Ovis aries: one gene and its partner. The protein of the gene in region 1 purifies or fractionates together with the protein of each later gene. This does not show direct contact. Links are inferred from orthologs where the notes say so. Each region holds a gene or a part of one and is shown in the gene's direction. Other genes may lie near its edges.

Region 1 (7,691 bases):
TTCACTCATGCAGTCCCGGAAGGCCTGCACCTGTGGCTGGCACTGCCTCCAGTCCTGGTGCTGGGCCATGCACTCCTGCACTGCATAGTGGGAAGCAGCACAGCCGGAGCGGGAGATGAGCTGGTCCAGCGGGTCCTCTTCTTCATCCTCCTTCTTCACCTGTCGGGACCAGGCATGGCCTTGAGCTGACATCTTCTGGAGTCTCTAGAATATCAATGGGAGCAAGGTTAGAGTAGGGACATGATTATATATGTTCCTCTGTTATAAACAACACTTACCACTGCACTGTTATAGCCTATTTATGCCTATGTCTCCCCTTGGAGATTGTGAGCTATTTGAGGACAAACACTGGGCCTGATTCATCCTGGTACCCCCAGCACCAGGCTTGCAAAATGGTCTCAACTGAACAGAATGAGATAAAGTATGTGAGAATGCTCAGCACAGCACTAATAAGCTCAAATGGGTTCTACTAATAGAATTGGAATTAGGTGAAATGTCACATATCTGGGGAAGCTATCTCTGTTCTCCTATTGGAGAAGCAATCTTCTTTTTTTCAATTAGCCTTATTCTATGGCTAGAGAAGAACAGAGTTTAGTACTTGAGAGAGTAACCATATATGGGTAGGGTTTGACATTTGGGAGAATGGAGAGTTGTGTGGAGAAAAGAGCATACAAGGTACAGGGCAAGAACTAAGTTTGTGAAGTGTGAGAATACTTAATGTGAGGTGCACTTGCCCACACTGCCTTTCCACGATCACCTGCTTCAGAGCACCCAGCACAAGGTAGCATATAGAAGGAACTTAAGAGAGGTTTGAAGATAAATGACTCAGCCTTTGTACAAATTTAACCATGACAGGCTATAAATAAGCTAAGACTCCTTAATGCCTTTCCTGGGTCTCTGATTCATTTAACAAATTATCATTGAGTATCTATCATGTACCAAGCTCTATGCTAGAGTTGAGAAAACAAGAGTGACCAAGACAGATACACTTCCTGCCTTCATAGAGTTTATAATTTAGGTAAGTTAAAAGGCTGATTACTTGTGTACAGTGTCTATAAACAGCTAAAATTGGGAAGACAGTGGAGACTACCTAAGCCAGACAAGGGGACAAACAGGCAGGGAAGCCTTCTTTTCTTGCAGAAAGTGATTTCTAGACTGAGACTTGAAAGATGAAAAGGGAAGAGCCAGAGATGTAAAGAATATTTCTAGTCAATGGAAGAGCAGGGTGGGGATTTGAGACAGAATTTGACATGAGATGAACTGAAAGTTTTACATGACTGGAGAATAGAGTATGAGAACAGGAAAATTAATGAAAGTGATGAGTTGAGAAAGTATCTGATCACAGGAAGACCACATGTTAAGTTGTCAAGAGGGCAATGGGGAAGTCACAAAAAGGTTTTAAGAACTCTATGAAAGTGAAAGTGTTAATCGCTCAGTCCTGTCCAGACTCTCTGATACTCCGTGGACTGTAGCCCGTCAGGTTCTTTGTCCATGGATTTCTCCAGGCAAGAATACTGCAGCAAGTTGCCATTTCCTTCTCCAAAGGATCTTCCTGACCCAGGGATTGAACCCAGATCTCCTGCATTACAGGCAGATTCTTTACATTTTGAGCCACTGGGAGAGCCCAAGAACTCTATAAGTTAAGTGAAGTTAAGTCACTCAGTCGTGTCCGACTCTTTGTGACCCCATAGTCAGTAGCCTACAAGGCTCCTCTGTCCATGGAATTTTCCAGGCAAGAGTACTGGCCCTACACAAAATTCATTTGCTTTGAAGGCAAGGGAGGAGGGAGAAAATGGGCTTCGAAAACAAACTTGGATTGGAAAATTAGCCTGGTCACTGACTCACTGGGATGCTTTGAGCAAATTACACTTTATAATCTCTCTTGAAAAACACACATCAAATCTATCTCACAGGACTGAAAACTAAATGAGATAATGCACGTAAGGAGCCTGGCACGTCCAGAGTTCAATAAATGATAACTCCTATTACTATACATGTTTCTTCTTTCTAAATATACTGAGCTCTTTAAAGGCAAGGGCAAGCCTCTTGAAACAATATGGTGGAAAGAACAGTGCCGTGGATTCTAAGCCAAGAAATCCGGATTCAAATACTGGCACCTCGTTTTACTATGCGCAAGCCTTAGCGTGCATTCCTTTTTTTTTTTTTTTTCCCCCGTTTTTTTGGCATGTGGGATCTTAGTTCCCCTACCAGGAAACGAACTATATAGTGTCCCCTATAGCGGAAGGGCAATCTTAACGACTGGACCACAGAGGAAATCCCTTAGTTTCCTTCCTTCTTAAGGTAATATTTAACTCACTTTACCGCAAGGAATAAGATGCTAATAAGGGACAAGTGCATGGGCTACGAAAGGACTTAATTCCCCACCTCAACCTGGCTTCAGTCTCTCATGAGTAAAAAGTGGAAGACCCTCGCTCAGAGACCAGGGCAGGATGGAAGGTCGGCAGTTGGTTCGCGAAGGCCAGCCTGGACTAAGAAGGCACTGAAAGGATGGGTAAGCAGAAAAACCCAAGCGGCCAAGTTACTTAAAACCACCACCTTCCGGAGAGGACGCAAGCGCACTCGCGAGCCCGCGCTGTGCCCGCTAGGCTTCACCGCGTAAGATCGCGGCACACAGTGCTCACCGAACAGGCAGACAGGAGGACTCGAACGCGCGCTGCTGCACAGCGGCGTCGGCTTCGCAGGCAGCTGTAACTCTACCGAATTACCCAGTAAACCTCGGGTCAGGAACCAGCTTCCTGCAAGGAGCGCGCGCGCAAAGGGGCGGGGAGAGAAGGAGAATACATCACGTATTTCCATTAGCGGCTTTTCGGGTAGATCCCGCCCTTCGTTCTCGACGTAGGCTCTGTGGGGCATCCACTTCCGGGAGAGAGCGGAAGGGGCGGGCTGGTGGAGGCGGGCCAAGATGGCGGTACCTTTGAGGATTCAGAGCGACTGGGCCCAGGCTCTCAGGTGAATCCAGGTCCAGAACTGGGACATAGGAGGCGGGTAGCGGATGTTGCCTTTACGTTAAGGAGCGCCATCCCCGACCCAGGATGTCCATAGGGGTTGCCTCATCAATTGTTGAGGGAACCCTGGGCCTAGAAGTCTCAAAGCCACATGGTCATTGTTTTTCCTTCTCAGAAGAGTTATGTATCCCAGGAAACACGTATGCGTCGTGTGATGGCAGAGGCAGAATAGCATCAATGAGTTGGAGAAAGACAGGAAAACTGAGAGGCAGGAAGACTCTTGGCCAAATAGTCATGGTCATTTAGCAAATACTTACTTATCAGCTATTTCCAAAAGTCCCAGCAATCTGCATTACCAGGAGTCTTGGCATCCTTCTCGACCCCTGCTGCTAAGTCACTTCAGTCGTGTCCGACTCTGTGCGACCCCATAGACGGCAGTCCACCAGGTTCCGCCGTCCCTGGGATTCTCCAGGCAAGAACACTGGAGTGGGTTGCCATTTCCTTCTCCAATGCATGAAAGTGAAAAGTGAAAGTGAAGCCGCTCAGTAGTTTCCGACCCTCAGCGACCCCATGGACTGCAGCCTTCCAGGCTCCTCTGTCCATAGGATTTTCCAGGCAAGAGTACTGGAGTGGGGTGCCATTGCCTTCTCCCAGTGGTGTGTTAGTCATGTTGTGTGTAGTCCATGGGGTCGCAAAGAGTCGGACACAACTGAGCGACTTTCACTTCACTTCACTTCACTTCACAGGTCTTTTCAGGGAACAGTGTAACACTTAAACCATGTCCAGACTCTGACCTAAATAGATGCTCGGCGGAGTTCAGATGTGTACTCTAAACTTAAGGGTGGTTTCTGCCTTTGAGACGCTAACAGCTTAATTGGAATGAACAACAAACCATTCATTTATTTATTGTGTATCATATACTGTGCAAGTTATTTTGCCAGGCACCAGAATGAGTACAGCCGTACCGAGATGTTCAGCCGCTAAGTCGTGTCTGCCGTGGACTACAGCCGGCCAGGCTCTTCTGTCCTTGGGATTTCCAAGGCAAGAATACTGGAGTGGGTTGCCGTTTCCTTCTCCAACAGCAGTGCCATGAATGGCAACTATTATACTAATAGGTTTTAAAAATGGAAACAATGGTGAAGATGAATGGAACATAGTCTCCTGAGTTTAAGAAACTTATGCCTTACTAGGTGGGCTGAAAAGAAACCTTATTACTACAACACCAGATGTGTAATAGGAGGAACACTGGCATTTATTGAGGACCACCTACCTTTGCAAGAACACAAGTTCAGAATCAAGAAGTAAGTTGCCCAGGATAGTGCAGCTAATAAGTGTTTCATGATGAAGTACTTGAGCTTCACTTAACTAACAGGTCTATGCATTAAACACAATCCATAAGTATTTCTTCAATAAAGTTTGTCTATGCCTGGATAACGTATTAGACTGATTTGTGTAAGTGCTCTGGCTAAACTGGAAATTATATGTTCTTTCTCCCCTTCATCAATAACATCCATTTTGACATTGAGTGAGTCTAATTACGTTTTTGTTTCTCTTCATAGGAAGGACGAAGGGGAGGCCTGGCTGAGCTGTCACCCCCCAGGTAATATCCTTAAATCTCTATGCCTTCCCTTTAGAGAAAGGATTTACAACCCCTAGGAAAGAGCTTCCTACTTTCTCCTGGCCTAGACTACTTGAACAGTGCTTCAAGTAGTCTTGAGATGTGCTTCAACAGTCTTCAGATGTTCTTGACCATTCTGTGCTGAATGGATGCCACTGCAACTCCTCCATTCTAGGGGAAGGGCTTCCTATTCGTGTCCCATTGGGAGCCACAGACATTTGTGGAGACATTGCTGCTGCATCTTAATCAGTGTCTTTGCCATATACTATTGTATTCTAGGCAGTTCTGTAGCTTCAGTTGTGATCTTCCTGATAATGATTCCTGGTCTACAGCTCTAGTTCTGACCTCTCTTCATTTTCAAGCAGAGATTGAATAGTTACCTGCTAAACATTTCTGGTTAAAACTCTCGCTGCTGTTTTGAGCTTATCAGATCCAGAATCTGATGCTGAGCGCGTCTGTTGTCAAACAGGTTTTCTTTCTAGATTTTCTCAGTTCTTAAGTTATCACTATTCTAGACATTAGAGTGAAAAACCTGGTGCCTCACCCTACCATATATAGTTAGTTCCCAAGTCTTCCAAATTTTTCCTTTCAATGACATTCCTGTATTATTCTCATCCATTTGTTTTCAGTTAGTGTGGTAACATTAAAATTTTTTTGCTTTTAAATTTGTAAGAAAGCTTTGTTTTGCTGATTATTTTTCATTTTCAGAGACCTTTGACGTCTCTCCATAATAAGATATTCTAGGAGAAATAGAGTTTTAAACAGTTTTCTTTGGAGGAAATTGGTGCTGTGTCAAAGAAAGGTGGTAGCTGGGAGGTCTCAGAATCAAGGATTTTTGTCTTATTTTTAAAGATGGGAACTAATTGGAGAGCAATTAAAATACAGGTTATACATTAAAAATATTCATCTTTGTTTCATTTAAAAATGCTGTGCTTAGTCACTCAGTTGTGTCTGACTCTGCAACCCCATGGACTGTAGCTTGCCAGGCTCCTCTGTTCATGGGGATTCTCTAGGCAAGAATACTAGAGTGGATTGCCATGCCCTCCTCCAGGGGATCTTCCTGACCCAGGGACTGAACTCAGGTCTCCCGCATTGTAGGCAGATTCTTGACAGTCTGAGCCACCAGGGAAGCCCTTATTTAAAAGTAAATAAATATATTTTAAAAAAAGAAACAAATACTTAGGCTGTAGGTAGAAAAGACGACCAGCTGAAAAATCAGTATCTTAGATGAGCGAGATTGAATTAAGTCTAAAAGAGTAAGATGAAAGGTGAGGGTAAGTGTAGATGTATTAATAGATACATGCATAGACCTGGATATAGAAATGTGAAATTTTCTTATAGCCTATATTTTCTTTGTGATGTTGGAGTTAGAGTCAGCTCTTAAAGAAGAGTTGTTTTCCCCTGAAATGGCAGTTTTGTTGAAATAAAATGCATGCTATCTATGTGCTAGATGTCAACCATAACATGTAGGGACTATTAGGATTTTGATCTTTTTTTTAAGATAATAACTGTTTTCAGATATAATTCACATACAGTAAAGTTTATCTTTTTAAAGTGTACAATTCAGTGGTTTCTAGTATATTCATAGAGTTGTGTGTCTGTCAGTAATTCTACACATTTTCATCACCTCTAAAAGAAACCTTATGCTGTTTAGCAGTCTCTCTACTTTCTCCCCTCCTCCTAGCTCCTAGCAACCGCTAATTGACTTTCTCTGTGGATTTGCCTGTTTTGGACATTGCTTATAAATAGAGTCATAATATGTGGCCTTTTGCACCTTTCATTTAACATAACATTTTCAAGGTTCATCCATTTTGTGGCATTCGTATGTTTTTATGGCCAAGTAATAGTCTGTAAGGACATATCACATTTTTTGTCCATTCATCAGCTGACGAACATTTGAATTGTTTCCAGTTTTTGGCTGTTATGCAGGAAGAAGGTTTTGCTGATAGGCTAGGTATAGTGAGAATTGGCTGCTCTGGGAACAAAAGGGACAAAAGGACTCCAAAACTACGCAGAGCTTGAAAACTGTGGTAAGTTGGAACGGCGCCAGTTTGCACAGCTGTGTCCTGTTCTGTATCTGCACTCAGCAGCCTATATGTAGAAATGTAGAAAGGTGAATGGTTAGATTAATCTCACTTTTGTTACACAGACAAGATACTGAGACTCAGATCGTTTCAGTAGCTTTGTAAATGTAGAGAGGTCATTGCCAGTGCTGACAGGAGATTGGTAGAAATAATATACCAAAAGGGCCAGACTTCCTAGGATAATTTGAAGCCAGGAGGGAATCATGGAGAGGGACAAAACGCGGAGTTCACTCAACCCTGTTTTTGTGGCATCTTTCTGAACTAACATTTCATGCCACTTCCCTGCCACACCTTCTTCACTAGATCTTCTCTAGTCCAGACTTCTACCCTAGATTGTGAGTTACTCCATTAATATCTTTCAGTGACTAAACTAGTATATTAATTGATGCCTCCTCTCCCCTTGTTCCTGTGTGACTGTTCTTTATTCTCGACATGCCCTTCCCTGACATGGAGTTTCCTTTCCCTTGTGCTCACTCAGTCATGACTCACTCAGACTCTTTGTGACCCCATGAACTATAGCCCACCAGGCTTCTCTTTCTGTGAGATTTTCCAGGCAAGAATACTGGAGTGGGTTGCCGTTTCCTTCCCCTTTCCTTTCCCTTATTTTCTGCCTAGTTGTATCTTTTAAGATCCTTCTCAAGTCCCACCCTCTCTAGGAAGCTCTCCTACTCTGAATGAATGACTTTGGCATGATGACTTTTACTTCCCTCTTACTCCTAGAATTTAATTTTCATGCACCAGTTATTTACTGAATAATTTGAGCACTTTGCTGGTTTTCTGAACTCAAGGACTCCATAGTCTGGTGGGGAGGCCAGAAATGTAAACAACATATTGTGGGCTGTTATAGAACAACACACACACACACACACACACACACATTGTGGGCTGTTACAGAACAACACACACACTACAGGAGAAGAATAGAAGAGAACATTTTAACATTTATGTGCAGGAATTTTATTTAGCCTATATTTCTACAAAAGCAGTGTCCTGCTTAAGCAGACTTCCCAGTTATTGAAGCTT
Region 2 (7,571 bases), on another chromosome or scaffold:
CAAACTGAGGTGACTTTTTTCTTCTTTGCCTCTTCTTCTCTTCTTTACTTCTTGATGTCAGAGGTGAAATACTCTGGTATGGATAGACTAGTTTGACCAGAATAATTGTACCTGAGTGGGAGAAGGGACTAACCCTGCTCAATCCACCTTCCTTGTTTATTGTCTAATTGAAATTTCCAGTTATATTTGGAAAAAACAGAATAGAATATTTACACAATGTCCATAAGATTTTTTCCCAGTAAATTCAAAGACATCTTTTATATTTTCTAATAGCTTAATTTCCTAACAAAATTTTTGGTAGTTAAATTTACTTAAATTTGAACTTTATATGCATACATAGGCTATACCTATTTAAATTCAAACATCAGAGCCGGGGGATGAGATGACAGCAAATGGAGTCGGGAATGTGACTGATTCTGTTGAAACAACTCTAAATTCTCCCCAGGAGTAATGCTGAGAAGAGGTACAGCGTTGTGGACCCGTACCACAAAATTTGAGGTCATTACCACTCTTAAAATAAATAACTTAAAATAGCACTATTGAATATTTGGGGCTTCCCTGGTGGCTCAGTGGTAAAGATTCTGCCTGCTAGTGCAGGAGATGCAAGAGACATGGGTTTGAACCCAGAGTTTGGAAAAGCCGCTGGAGGAGGAAATGGAAACCCAGTCCAGTATCCTTGCCAGAATAAGATACGACTGAGCATGCACACATGTATTAATAGCTTAGAGGCACACTGTGCTGTTTAATACTCATGACATCCCTATGAGATAGGTAAAACATTCTACTCATTTTACAGAGATTTTTGAAAGATTAATTTGTCCAAAAGCACAGAAATCTTAAAGACAGTTCTGTCAGGTTTCACGTTCCTTACTCAGTCTACTTCCGCATCTTTATCTTGTGCCCCTCATCTCCACAACCCATCCCTTCCGGTCTCATTGGCCTTCTCTCTGTTCCAAGAAATGAGCTAAGCCCCTTTCACCTTTAGGGCTTCCCTGACAGCTCAGTTGGTGAAGAATCCACCTGCAATGCCGGAGACCTGGGTTCCATCCCTGGGTTGCGAAGATCCCCTGGAGAAGGCAAAGGCTACCCACTACAGTATTCTGGGCTGGAGAATTCCATGGACAGTATAGTCCACGGGGTCGCAAAGAGTCGGACACGCCTGAGCGACTTTTACTTTCACTTTCCTTTCACCTTCAGATCTTTGCATTAGCTGTTTCCTCTGTTTGGAAGGTTTTTCATCTGTTTCTTGCATGGTTGGTTCCTTGTCTCAGATATCTGTCCTAAATTACTTCTCTTCACCTTACTCTGTAACATTATCCTGTTTTATTTACATTAGAGGGTGACAGCATTTATTGGGCTTCCCTGGTGGCTCAGACGGTGAAGCATCTGCCCACAATGAGGGAGACCCGGGTTTGATTCCTGGGTCGGGAAGATCCCCTGGAGAAGGAAATGGCAATCCACTCCAGCACTCTTGCCTGGAAAATCCCATGGACAGAGGAGCCTGATAGGCTACAGTCCATGGGGTCGCAAAGAGTTGGACACGACTGAGCGACTTCACTTTCATTTCACTTTCACAGCATTTATGGACTATGCCAAAGCCTTTGACTGGGTGGATCACAATAAACTGGAAAATTCTGAAAGAGATGGGAATATCAGACCACCTGACCTGCCTCTTGAGAAATCTGTATGCAGGTCAGGAAGCAACAGTTAGAACTTGACATGGAACAACAGACTGGTTCCAAATGGGAAAAGGAGTACATCAAGGCTGTATATTGTCACCCTGCTTATTTAACTTCTATGCAGAGTACATCATGAGAAATGCTGGACTGGAGGAAGCACAAGCTGGAATCAAGATTGCCAGGAAAAATATCAATAACCTCAGAAATGCAGATGACACCACCCTTATGGCAGGAAGTGAAGAAGAACTAAAGGGCCTCTTGATGAAAGTGAAAGAGGAGAGTGAAAAAGTTGGCTTAAAGCTCAACATTCAGAAAACGAAGATCATGGCATCTGGTCCCATCACTTCATGGCAAATAGATGGGGAAAGAGTGGAAACAATGGCTGACTTTATCTTTCTGGGCTCCAAAATCGCTGCAGATGGTGATTGCAGCCATGAAATTAAAAGACGCTTACTCCTTGGAAGGAAAGTTATGACCAACCTAGACAGCATATTAAAAAGCAGAGACATTACTTTGCCAACAAAGGTCCATCTAGTCAAGGCTATGGTTTTCCAGTGGTCATGTATGGATGTGAGAGTTGGACTGTGAAGAAAGCTGAGTGCCAAAGAATTGATGCTTCTGAACTGTGGTGTTGGAGAAGACTCCTGAGAGTCCCTTGGACTGCAAGGAGATCCAACCAGTCCATCCTAAAGGAGATCAGTCCTGGGTGTTCACTGGAAGGACTGATGTTGAAGCTGAAACTCCAATTCTTTGGCCACCTGATGCAAAGAGCTGACTCATTGGAAAAGATCCTGATGCTGGGAAAGATTGAGGGCAGGAGGAGAAAGGGACGACAGAGGATGAGATGGTTGGATGGCATCACCAACTCAATGGACATGGGTTTGGGTGGACTCTGGGAGTTGGTAATGGACAGGGAGGCCTGGTGTGCTGCGGTTCCTGGGGTTGCAAAGAGTCAGACACGACTGAGCGACTGAACTGAACTGAACAGCATTTATTACAATTTGAAATATTTTTTTTCTTTAATTTTCCCACCGGATCAAATCCTTAGTACTTCATTCACTGAGTGAAGAAATGAATCAATAGCTTACTTATTCTGTACCTGGAGATCCTAGATAGTGTTGTGTTATACCAACAGGTATACATGGATAAGCCATCAGCGCTACTTAAAGAAATATGTATATTCTCTATTTTACTCTCATATTAGTTTATTACAAAGTCTTTAGTGGTTCCAGGACAGCATGACTTAAAAACACCAAGGCTTCTCAGGGGACAGAGCCCTGCTTTACCCAGGCAGACCAGCAGGGGACGGTGTAGGTGGAGGTCTCCTTCCACGGGTTCCGGCGCCCTAGACGCAGAAGTTGGAGAAGGGCAGTGCAGAGGCGGAGCCAACCGGAAGGGGCGGGGTCACCTGAGAACCTGCCCTTCCAGGGAGGCTCTTCTCCCTCGCCCCGCCCCGTCCCCCGCCCGGGCGGCCATGGCCATTCCCGGCATCCCCTATGAGCGACGGCTTCTCATCATGGCGGACCCTAGAGATAAGGCGCTTCAGGACTACCGCAAGAAACTGCTGGAGCACAAAGAGATTGACGGCCGTCTCAAGGAGTGTGAGTGCACCTTTCTTTCCACGTAATCTCGTACCTGGACCCGCTTCTGTCTCTGCCGAAGTGGAGGCCTTTTGCCGAGTTCGGCAACCGAGTCCCTGGGATGAGAAGGCCTCAGTCCAGGGACAAGGCGCTTTGTCATTCCGCCCAGTATTTGGGAAGCCGAGCCTTTTCGGGCGTGGAAATGATCTAGTCTGGTCCAGGCGACAGACAGAACATCCCCAGTTCTGAGATGAAAGTGGGAAATGACCCGACAAAGAGTGAGGAAGAAGTTGGTCAGAGATGTTTCCCAGATTCAGGTGCAAGGAGTGCAGTGTTGGTGGAGCCCTGGGACCCGGAGCGGAGAAAAGACTTGAGTCAAAGAAGCTCAAGCGCGAGATGAGATTCTAGGGGGGTTGGCTTGTTAGTGGAGAAGAAAGCCGAACATGGGGTTTAAGGGATAAGGCGTATCGGTCAGTAATAGCCCTTTTCATCTTTACTCGTGGTTTGAATTATACTGCATTAATTATACAAGTTTCCCTTACCTCCTGAACTAAATAAAAAGAGTTTTGTATTTTTTTCTTAATGCACCGTCACCGACGTAATGAATGAAAACCTTAACCATAATTCTGCGGAGCTTTATTTAGGTTAAAAAGCCAGAGGGTAACAGTGCATGTAGATAGATGAAGTGAGGAGGGTCTAACTCTTATTATTCGGATTTGTAATCTCAGATCTGGAAATGCCAGAAGGTCAATACCTGTTAAAAATGTTACCTAAAATGTGCTCAAAGAAGTAAGTATCGCCAATCAAGAAAATAAAAATAGGTGCTTTCTCTGTAATATTTCGTTTTGAAACACATCATCTACAAACAGCATTGTTACTTTTGTGTGGTTTGATACAATGGATATAAAATATATGTAAAGTGAAACAGACAAAAGTTAAGATTTGGTGCCTTAAACTCGCGAAGATTACTTAATTCAAAATGTTCAAATTATATTATTTCAGTAAGGGAACAATTAAAAGAACTTACCAAGCAGTATGAAAAATCTGAAAATGATCTGAAGGCTCTACAAAGTGTTGGGCAGGTAGGTAATGGAGTTTGGGATGTAGAGGGTGATGGTGATTTATTTTTTTAAGCTCTTGGCAAAAAATAATGCTCTCTTTTGTCTTTATTAGATTGTGGGTGAAGTACTTAAGCAGTTAACTGAAGAAAAATGTAAGTGTATTAGATTGTTAGTAGAAAAAGAGCAGGGTTACCTCCTTTCTGTCACCAGCTTTGAATGCTTATTGCTTAAATGAGTATAATGAAGATAGATGATATTCTTGCATAGACTGAGTTTTCTTTCAACTCTTGTCTTTTGGAGAACAGAAATAAAATGCAACCTGCCATCAATGTGGATATATTTAGTTTTTACTTTCTATGTTTCAATTTGTTTTTTCATTTCTTTTTTCCCCTTTAGTCATTGTTAAAGCTACAAATGGACCGAGATATGTTGTGGGTTGTCGTCGACAGGTAACATTTTATATTTGTATAGTGCTTTATAATTGACAAAAGTGCTTTCAAGTAAGTTATTTACTTTTCCAGGTCCCAAAGGTGACTTGTTCAGATACAGCTAATTATTAGTAAAGCCTAAACTCAAACCATGGATTTGACTCCTGATGAAAGCTCAGTCGTGTCCGACTGTTTGCAACCCCATGGGCTATACTGGCTATGGAATTCTCCAGGTCAGAATACTGGAGTGGGTAGCCTTTCCTTTCTCCAGGGGATCTTCCCAACCTAGGGATTGAACCCAGGTCTTCCACATTGCAGGCAGATTCTTACCAGCTGAGCCCTCCTGGTAGTCTATTTTTCTGCTTGATTGCATTAGCTCAGTCAACTCTACACACAGAGAAATCAGAGAATCTTAGAACTGAAAAATAACTCAGGTTATTTTATTTTAATGTCTCTTTTTGAAGAAGACTTAAAAGATTAAACCTTATAAATTGCACTTTAAACATTCAGAAATATTACTTATCAACTTTACTATAGATTAAATTGATTTTGTATGAATTGGTTTAGATTAGAATAAGCAAACTGAGATAACTCCAAGTTTTATTTTGCAGTCAAAAACTGACAAACAGATTTGAATTATTTAGTAACCACTGAAGCCAATTTATGTACTGCTCTGTTCTTTAGGAAATGCCTTTAGCAGATTTTGAAAAACTCATTGGAAGAGCTTTCTCTGAGTATTTGTTATATCAGGTTCAGGTTTTAAAACATTGATCCGACATGGCTATAGAATGGAATTTTACCCAAGAACTAAGTTCAGTCTTAAAATTTTACTTACATATAAGTGGGATGATATTTTCTAAATCAAAATTTTAGATGCCTAATCCTATAAAGGATATTTATGTCCCTTTTAGGACCCTTTGGATGCCAAAAGTTGGCATTTAAAGATAGTTCATGACTGTATGAGGGCAATAGAGCATTTGAAAGCTGAAAAATATTAGAAAGGCCAGAGTATATATTGCCTATAGATATAAATGAAATAACTTCTTATTGATCTCTGTTTAAGCTCTTGTTTCAAGTACAGTAGTCCTTAATCCGTGGGGGATATGTCCCGAGACTCCCAGTGGATGCCTGAAATCTAGGCATATACCAAACCTATATGTGCTGTGTTTTTTCCTCTACATACATACTTATTATGATAAAGTTTCCATTTATAAATAAGGGAGGGGGAACTACTGTATCTAGGAAATATTTTTAGTTTAATCCATTATATTAAACCTAGTTTTTAGCTTGCTTCCACTTTAGGTTGCTCTATCCTGTCCAACTCTTCGCTACTCCGTGGACTGTTGCCCTCCAGGCTCCTCTGCCCATGAAAATTTCTAGGCGAGAACACTGGAGTGAGGTGCCATTTCCTCCTCCAGGGGATCTTCTGACCCAGGCATTGAATCATGTTTCCTGCATTGACAGGCAGATTCTTTACCACTGAGCCACCAGAGAAGCCTCCCACTTCATTTTAACTGGCACTAAATCCTAAACCAAGCACTCTTTGCAAAATTCTGTGAAAAGTGTTTAGTAATTTGTGTGATTCTGAAATTGTATTAACAAGCAGTTTTCTAAACTATTGAAAAGTAACTTTTTTTTTGAGAAACAGCCTGAGTGTGATTGAATCTCTTTGGATAGATTCTATCCAGTTCTATCCAAATAAGTTACACTGCCTAAATATGCCAATAAATTATTTAGTATGATTCAACTTAACATGAAATATGTTTGCCATAGTGTCTGACAGGTAGCAAAGGAATGAATGAAGGTTGCTGGGATTTTTTTTTAATTCTTTAGAATTAAAAAAAAAATCTCTAGAGGGAAACAGTGCATTTCTCCCCTATCTACTGTGATCATGGAGTATATTCTTCTCAAAACCATAGTTTTTAAAATAAATTTAATGGGCATACTTGTAAGGTGCTTTCCTTTCTTCACAAATGTTCACTAAGGGATTTCTATATGTATACTTTGCTACCAGTTTCCAAAGTCACTGTACTACAGTGCCTAAATCAAAATGATGAGCAAAACTATTAAATAGCCTTTGAAAGTAAAATATTGCAGTCAGTTCCTGCTTCAAAAACAGTCGTTGGCTCCTCAAATTTTGTGTATTAGGGGTTTCACGTTTCACAGTGAGATTGCACAAAAGGGCACTTTTTTAAGAGGTAGCACTGCATGTTGTTTATAACCTAAGATTAGTGTTCTCTCTGAAGGATAAAAATGATTATTTGGCTTCTAACTATGCTCTTGTTATACTGTTATACCCCCTTTCAAGTGTTTATGTAACACTTTCTGTTTTATAAAATTAGCTTGACAAAAGTAAGCTGAAGCCAGGAACAAGAGTTGCTTTGGATATGACTACACTAACTATCATGAGGTATGTGTCTTATACTATTTAGTTAACCTTTTATTGTCATGGAGGGAATATTTTATCCAAAATTGGTGTTTCCTGAGATCACTGAATATTTTGCCACTTTTCTGCTTTTACTAATTTCAGATTAACTTAAACATGATTTTATAAGATCTCCTACAGGTTCTTGTATAAGCAGTCATTTATACTCTTTGTAGACTGAGACAAAATACATCTTTTAAAAGAAAAGTACACTTTATTATTACAGATATTTGCCAAGAGAAGTGGATCCATTGGTTTACAACATGTCTCATGAGGACCCTGGGAATGTTTCTTATTCTGAGATTGGAGGGCTATCAGAACAGATTCGTGAATTAAGAGAGGTTGGTAGTGTATGCTTTGTTCTCTGAACTTATCAAGAAATGGTACTGGTTTTAAAA

What was found.
Region 2: the proteins of PAAF1 (region 1) and PSMC6 purify together in Homo sapiens (affinity purification with western blotting; 3 studies listed by BioGRID and IntAct, with this or other methods). This does not show direct contact. The link is inferred for Ovis aries from reciprocal best matches to the Homo sapiens genes PAAF1 and PSMC6.

The regions. Positions count from the first base shown.
Region 1 is NC_056068.1:52,057,622-52,065,312, forward strand, and holds the start of PAAF1 (proteasomal ATPase-associated factor 1), read left to right. Parts: upstream 1-2,901; 5' UTR 2,902-2,923; coding exon of another isoform or gene 2,924-2,970; intron 2,971-3,283; exon of another isoform or gene 3,284-3,450; intron 3,451-3,895; 5' UTR 3,896-3,915; coding exon 3,916-4,007; intron 4,008-4,156; coding exon 4,157-4,267; intron 4,268-4,525; coding exon 4,526-4,566; intron 4,567-6,495; exon of another isoform or gene 6,496-6,614; intron 6,615-7,691. Other genes in the region: cytochrome c oxidase assembly factor 4 homolog, mitochondrial, read right to left, coding at 1-192. UniProt on the Homo sapiens protein: Inhibits proteasome 26S assembly and proteolytic activity by impairing the association of the 19S regulatory complex with the 20S core.
Region 2 is NC_056060.1:11,459,079-11,466,649, reverse strand, and holds the start of PSMC6 (26S proteasome regulatory subunit 10B), read left to right. Parts: upstream 1-3,175; 5' UTR 3,176-3,195; coding exon 3,196-3,280; intron 3,281-4,261; coding exon 4,262-4,341; intron 4,342-4,432; coding exon 4,433-4,472; intron 4,473-4,716; coding exon 4,717-4,769; intron 4,770-7,090; coding exon 7,091-7,158; intron 7,159-7,399; coding exon 7,400-7,514; intron 7,515-7,571. UniProt on the Homo sapiens protein: Component of the 26S proteasome, a multiprotein complex involved in the ATP-dependent degradation of ubiquitinated proteins.